2 linked regions of the Canis lupus familiaris genome follow. The protein of the gene in region 1 interacts with the protein of each later gene in a biochemical or structural test. Links are inferred from orthologs where the notes say so. Each region holds a gene or a part of one and is shown in the gene's direction. Other genes may lie near its edges.

Region 1 (3,500 bases):
TAAAACCAAAGCTGAACTATGAAGCTTCCAGGCAAAAACATAAAAGAATATTTTCATAGCCTTCAGGAAGGCAAAAATTTTTAGACAAGACCTAAAAGATGGAATAAAAGGAAAAACATGTCTAATCTGGACTTTAACAAAATGAATACTCCTGCTCACCAAAAGTCACTATTAAAAAAAATGGATATGTCACAGACTGGGAGAAAAATATACTCAATGCATATATTTGACATGGCTTACATCCAGATATATAAATATTTTTCCTACCTAATAAAAATGGACAGAACTTCCTCTGGCATTCCACAGGGAAGATATACAAGTGGCCATTAAGTACCTAAAAAAATTCTCAATATCTTAGCCATCAAGGAGATAAGTTATAACCACAATAGCCCATTGGCAGTGCCTGCCATTAGAACGACAGACGATAAGTGATGCCAAGATCATAGAACAACCACCCCCCTCCTCCGTGCTGTGTGGAGTATGAAATGTACAATTATTTTTTAAAAAAATATTTTATTCATTCATAAGAGACCCAGAGAGAGAGGCAGAGACACAGGCAGAGGGAGAAGCAGCCTCCCAGCAGGGAGCCCAATGTGGGACTCGATCCCGGATCCCGGGATCACGCCCTGAGCCACCCAGGTGTCCCAGTGCACAGCGTTTTAGCAACACTGTGAGTCAGTGGACAGAGGGTACTGGCCAAAGAGTGTCCTCATGATGTCATCCCTCGGGGAAATAAGTTTTAGTTTCAACTTATACAGCTCTATGTGTTCCTACAGAGGGATACAGACACAGTTGTACACGCATAGGAAATCATCCTAATAACGTGAGCTTTAAATACAGTATTGGTTATCTCTGGGAGATGTACGACCCCTGCCCGTGGAAAGGAAGACATTTGAGTACTTTCATTTATACACATATATTATTTCAGTTTTTAAAAAATATTTTATTTATTTATTCATGAGAGACACAGAGAGAGAGAGAGAGGCAGAGACACAGGCAGAGGGAGAAGCAGGCTCCGTGCAGGGAGCCCGACGTGGGACTCGATCCTGGGTCTCCAGGATCACGCCCTGGGCCAAAGGCGGCGCTAAACTGCTGAGCCACCAGGCTGCCCTATTTCAATTTTTATATGGAGCACATATTACATTTGATTTTTGAGATAAAAATTGTAATCGATGTTTTCAGTGCGCCCAGTTGTTCGGAAGTTGAGAGCCATCTGTTTGTCGCATTATAATAATAACTGGTACGTGCAGTATCTTTAATGGAAATGTTTCAAAGTCACTGATTAGCACTCTATTATGACAAAAGGCTGAGGGTGCGGGGTGCCCTGAAAGATTCTCCACCCTCCTGACCTGTGTTGTGGAATTTACAGTGGCCTGACGATGAACTACTGCAGGAACCCCGACGCCGACAAAAGCCCTTGGTGTTACACCACCGACCCCTCTGTGCGCTGGGAGTTCTGTAACTTGAGAAAATGCTTAGACCCGGAGGCGAGCGCCACCAACTCCCCTGCTGTGCCCCAAGTTCCCAGCGGACAGGAGCCTTCTGCATCAGGTGGGATGTCTGTGCCCAGGCCTCTGGCCACCTGGGCACCGGGATGATAAGAGGAGGCCCGTCTAACGGAGGCAGAGCGCTTCATTGCTCCAGGGAACCGAGCGCAGCCCAGGGTCTGCCAAGTGGAGGCCAGCCTGGCGTGGCATCCGGGATCGGGGCGGCCAGAGCCGCTATTGCTGGTGTAACGTGGGCGGGCTGTGTTTTTAGGACTTGAAAACCAAGTGGTTTGGAGGGATGGATAAAATTCGAGCCTGCGTGGATTGAGAGGTGGAGGATGGCAGCGCCGGCTGCAATGGTACCTGCTAGAACACCAAATCCTTGCCTCCCCCACGGAGACATGGAAATGATTAATTTTTTTTAAAGATTTTACTTATTTATTCATGATAGACACAGAGAGAGAGAGACACACACACACACACAGAGAGAGAGAGAGAGAGAGGCAGAGACACAGGCAGAGGGAGAAGCAGGCTCCATGCAGGGAACCTGACGTGCGGCTCGATCCCTGGTCTCCAGGATCAGGCCCTGGGCCAAAGGCAGGGGCTAAACCACTGCGCCACCCAGGGATCCCGATTAACTTGGTTTTGAACAGACTGAACTGGGAGTGCTCGCAGGACAGTCAAGCCCGGCTCTCCAGCACGAACCTGGCAAAGCCGATACGTGGCTTGCAGGGTCACTGAGCACAGAGATGGAGGCAGGAAATAATCACAGCCTTCTGTGCTTCCCTGGCCCTCGGGGAGCCGCTCTGAGCGCTTAGCACCTGCTTCCGTGCTTGTCTTACCCCCGGCCCCAGCATGAAAACTCCGGCTCCGTGACTTGCCTGGTCACTTTCAGATAATTCAAAAGTCCTGCAGATAGGTGGGGGTTAAAACGAGAACTTTGGTTTGAAGTTGGCACCCCTCTCTGTCCTGAGTGGGCTTGGCTGCTCTGCAGAGGAGAACCTGGCCCAGTCTTCCTTGAACAGGCTGGTACCTCTCTCTTCCCTCTCTCTTGGTGATGCTTCGGGCTCCATGCCCATCTGGGTGTCCCTCGTGGGTGAGTCTTGAGACGGTCTACCATGGTTCCCCCAGGTGCCTTCCCCCCATCTGGTGCTTGGGTAACTCCCTTACCCCGGTCCTGGCAAACATCGGGCTTGCAGACCACGGGCAGAGAAGCTAGCTGGCCCAGCTTCTGCATTTTGGATTTTTCAAGTGGCCATCAGAGCACTGGTGCCCTGGGTCCCCTTATGGGACATGCATCATGATCTCCGAGGGTTTTTGTGGAAGCCTCTTTTCCCTAGGCTCGAGACAAGGGATGGGCTTGGAGGAGGAGCCCCAAGCCGTCTGCGGATAAAGCCCTTCATGCCAAAGGATGGGAACTCACAGCCCAACTCTAGCCAAAATAGTATCTTGGATAAAAATCCTTTCCAATTTGCACTCTTTTTTTTTTTTTTTTTTAACCCAGCCTTGAGAACCAGGTGTTTGAGGGTCATCTGACAGTTCACCGCAGCATCTGCTTTATGCGAATCTTCTGGGTGCTGTCTCACCACTCAGCTTATTATAAAATTGACTCACTTAGTGTCCTGGCCAAAATTCCCACGCTAACATTTTGGCTTCTGATTATTTCCCAGGCGTTTTTAGTAACCTGGTAAAATAGGCAGTGTTCGCTGTAATTGTCAGCATTCCAGCGCCTTAGTGATGTGACCACAGAATCTGTCATTAGAGAGTCCTGGCACGATGGCCTATCTTCCCTACCATCCTGGGTCTGGGCAGTAACACATAACCGCCCATTTCCTCTTCCTTACAGACTGCATGTTTGGGAACGGCAAAGGATACCGGGGCAAGAAGGCAACCACTGTGATGGGCATCCCATGCCAGGAGTGGGCTGCCCAGGAGCCCCACAGACACAGTATTTTCACTCCAGAGACAAATCCACAGGCTGGTCTGGAAAAAAACGTAAGCCACTTTGATTTG
Region 2 (3,931 bases), on another chromosome or scaffold:
CCTGCCTGTGGCTGAGCTCCTTATTTGGTAAAGCTCCTACCTGCGTCCTGTGTCTCCGTCCGGGCCAGCCCGATGGCGCAGGACACAGCGGGGGAAGTGTGGCTGCTGACATCCCAGCCCTAAGAGATGAATGGAATTCCAGGCAGCTGGAGTCATGCTGGCTTGAGACAGTGGTTTGGAGACCAGACTTCCAATGACAGAAGCATTGAGCCGCCGCGCTCGTGGTAGTTGGTGCACCCACAGAAATGTAACCCACCCCTCGGTTTCGGGAGCTAAAAAAATGAAAAGAACGTTGAGGGAGGCAAAAAGGAAATAAGATGATAGGTGGAGGGTAATTTATTACTTGATGGGCCTGTTCTGTGAATAGTCTAAGACCCCAGAGCCAGATGCTTCCGCAAGTCCTCCAACCAGGAGTCACGTTAAGAAGCACGAGTGGGCACAGAAACTGTTTTTCAAGCCGCAAAGCCCGTTTTGGCTGCAGGGAGGTTCTAGGAGGCCGTTCCCTCCGGGGTCGCGGCCAGCAGGCGGCGGCCGGCGCGGGCCCCTCCATCCGAGTGCAAGACCGCCCCCAAGCGGCCAGCCGCGGAGGCGCCGTGCAGCGCGGGGGGCGGCGGCGGGGCCCTGGGCGCCCGGCGGCGGGGCCGCGAGCGGCGATCGCCCGCCGGGCGGAGGGAGGAGGGTCGCCCCGGCCGGAGCCCCAGCGGGTCCCATTTACCCCCGACGGGATCGTTGGGCTTCACCGACGGGCTCGGTCCCCGAGCGTCAGCCGCGGCCCAGGTGTTCCGGGAGACGGCTCTGCCCCAAAGTCCCGCCCCCGCCCCCGCCCCCGCCCGGGGGCTAAGGCCGGTGCCGGCTCCCGGGGCTCCCTCCCGCCTCCCGCGGCCCGAGCGCCGAGCGCCCGCGCGTCCAGGCGGCGTGGGCGGGCTCCTGGGGCAGGGACTCCGCCGCCCCCGCCCCCGCCCCCGCCCCCGCCCGCTCGCGCTACTCCGGCTGGAAAGGGAGGCTGCGGCGGCGGGGGGCGGAGACAGGGGCCCAGCCTGCCCCCCTCCCGCGGGCCCCGCCGCCTCCCATTGGCCGGAGGCAACCCCAGGAATGTGCGCGCGCCCTTAAAGGCGCACCGCCCCGCCGCCCCGCCAGCCACTGCCTCGAGCGGCCTCCCGCCCCGCGCCTCTCCGGACTCGGCGCCGCCCCGGCCCGCTGCACCCGAGCGCACAGGTGAGGCGCCCCGCTCAGCCGCCCTGAGCCCGAGGCTTCGGCCCTCGGGGAGCCCGGGTCTCCCGGTGCCCGCCGCCCCGCGCCCCCGGGCTCCCCCCTCCGGCCGTGGGGTTCACACACCAGCTCGTCAGGACCCCCCAGGACTTTCTTTCTCCCCACACCTCTCTCTGAGCCGTCGGGAGGGGAGTCTCGACTTCCCCGTGCCTCCCCGCGCCCCCAGACCGCATCTCCTGCCCCCCCTCGACTTCCCCAGCCAGAGCCCCCAGGTTGCTGGTCTTTGCCCCAGCGCCACCCGCCCCCGACTTTAAAACCCGTCTCCCCCCCTCACTCTTTCTTCCTGATGCCCCGTCCAAAGTGAGTACTGTTGCCCCTCGTTCCGGCAGACGTGAGGCCAGAGGGGGATCCGCCAGGGCCCTGGCCCCAAGCCCGGCGCCCGGTTGTGCCCGCTCTCCCTGCGCGGCCGCTCTGACCCCGGGGTCTGCTTCCCGCTACAGGCTCCCGGCTGGGCACGAGCGGCTCCACCATGGGGCTGGCCTGGGCACTCGGCGTCCTGTTCCTGTTGCGTGTGTGCGCCTCCAGCCGCCTTCCAGGTGAGTCTAGGTAACACCTTCTGAGCGGGGAGGGCAGATGAGGAGGTGCCGGTTACCCCGAGGACACCCCCTCCCGTGCTCTCTTGTGCCAGCCTTCCCCCGGCGCCCTCGGGGACCATCAGCAGGCAGCTTCCCCCGACCACAGTGCGGATTCAGTTCTTCCAGTGGTTGCCCAGTTCTTGCCCTGCCCTTTTGCCCCGCACCCCCGGCCTCAGCCTAGTTGGCTCACTGTGTGCCCTGCTCCTGTTGAACAGAGTCTGGGGGAGACAACAGCGTGTTCGACATCTTTGAACTCACGGGGGCTGCCCGGAGGGGCTCTGGGCGCCGGCTGGTGAAGGGTCCTGACCCCTCCAGCCCAGCTTTCCGCATCGAGGATGCCAACCTGATCCCCCCCGTGCCTGATGACAAGTTCCAAGACCTAGTGGATGCTGTGCGCGCAGAGAAAGGCTTCCTTCTCCTGGCCTCCCTGAGGCAGATGAAGAAGACCCGAGGCACGCTGCTGGCCATAGAACGGAAAGACCACTCTGGCCAGGTCTTCAGCGTGGTCTCCAACGGCAGAGCCGGCACCCTGGACCTGAGCCTGACCGTGCAGGGCATGCAACACGTGGTGTCGGTGGAAGAAGCGCTGCTGGCCACCGGCCAGTGGAAGAGCATCACCCTGTTCGTGCAGGAGGACAGGGCCCAGCTGTACATTGACTGTGAGAAGATGGAGAACGCCGAGCTGGATGTCCCCATCCAGAGCATCTTCACCAGGGACCTGGCCAGCGTGGCCAGACTCCGCATCGCGAAAGGAGGGGTCAACGACAACTTCCAGGTGAGGCCTCTCCTCCCGTTCGTGGGGTCGGCTGCTGACCTGTCAGGAGGGCTGTAGCGGGGGAGGCAGGGATTTCCAGTACAGGAGATCCCGCCTTTGGACCAGAGCCGTGCTTCCCACGCCTCCAGGGGCACCAGAATCACCTGCAGGGCTCGGTGAAACGCGCGCTGCACCGCATCCCCAGAGGTTCAGATTCCGTGCCCCTGGGATGGGGCCTGATCATTTGCGTTTCTAACAAATTCCAGGTGAAGCTGGGGCTTCACAAGCTGTTGGGGCCTGTGTTCTGGGCGTGCCGTACTTTGAAGACCGCTAAAGGAAACAAGTAGTTTTCCTATAAGCACCTGTTCAAGTCCTAAATACTCCTTATGCTCTCCTCAAGAAAAGAGCTTTTTTCAGATCGTTCTGCCAATTGTGATGTAGCTTGAAATGGATACGGAGAGCAGAATAAATACCACTTTGCCATTTGATTCCTCATGGGGTTGGAGCCAGTCTCAGGAGCCGGTCCCCAAAGGTTAAAATAGTGGCTATTTGCGGCTGCGGCTTCCTCCTTGCCTGGATGTCTAGGTTTTTGCCACTGTGGCTTTGAAACTCCCACATCTAGCTCTTTGACACTGGAGAGTGTCATTAAATCCTCTGTCCTTAGTATCCGATCCCATTTCCTGTGTACCCAAGTAGGCAGATAACGGATTTCTTTGTAAAGTACTCAAGACTTGGCGGACAACCCAATTAAGATTGTGAAGTTGTTTGGCAGTTGACGTTGGTGTGTTATTTTGACGTGGTGATCTTCAAAGGGAGCTCTTTTAAAATTTTAGAACTTCTGTTGTGCGCTTTTCCTGGAATAAACTGCACCCCCACCCCCACCCCCACCCCCACCACTCTACAAGTAATGTGTGTCCTCTGCCCCCAGGGGGTGCTGCAGAACGTGAGGTTTGTCTTTGGAACCACACCAGAAGCCATTCTCAGAAACAAAGGCTGTTCCAGTTGTGAGTACTCTTCTATTTTTTTTTTGGGGGGGGGGGGGTGTCATATGAGGACATTCAGGAGAGTCCACCTAAAACAAGCTGAGAACCTTAGGGAGTGGTAGTCATGCATAAATTACCCCAGGTAACCCCAAGTGACTTCAGAGTAATCCACACACATGCACCTGCTCCTTGTGTATCCTTCACCCCAGGTGTCCTATCTTTACAATTAGGAACTGTGGGGGCGGGGGAGGGAGAGACTGGCTTGTGAGAGCAGCTGTGTGAAGATCTGCCAATACTTTTCTCATCGTACTCCTTTCTTTCTTGGCAGCGACCAACGTCCTCCTCACCCT

What was found. The genes of interacting proteins can lie anywhere in the genome.
Region 2: the proteins of PLG (region 1) and THBS1 form a complex in vitro, tested with the Homo sapiens proteins (2 studies listed by BioGRID). The link is inferred for Canis lupus familiaris from reciprocal best matches to the Homo sapiens genes PLG and THBS1.

What each region holds. Positions count from the first base shown.
Region 1 is NC_049222.1:50,062,226-50,065,725, reverse strand, and holds part of PLG (plasminogen precursor), read left to right. Parts: intron 1-1,369; coding exon 1,370-1,551; intron 1,552-3,333; coding exon 3,334-3,482; intron 3,483-3,500. UniProt on the Homo sapiens protein: Plasmin dissolves the fibrin of blood clots and acts as a proteolytic factor in a variety of other processes including embryonic development, tissue remodeling, tumor invasion, and inflammation. In ovulation, weakens the walls of the Graafian follicle.
Region 2 is NC_049251.1:7,054,110-7,058,040, forward strand, and holds the start of THBS1 (thrombospondin-1), read left to right. Parts: upstream 1-1,131; 5' UTR 1,132-1,215; intron 1,216-1,709; 5' UTR 1,710-1,738; coding exon 1,739-1,805; intron 1,806-2,059; coding exon 2,060-2,619; intron 2,620-3,526; coding exon 3,527-3,602; intron 3,603-3,909; coding exon 3,910-3,931. UniProt on the Homo sapiens protein: Adhesive glycoprotein that mediates cell-to-cell and cell-to-matrix interactions.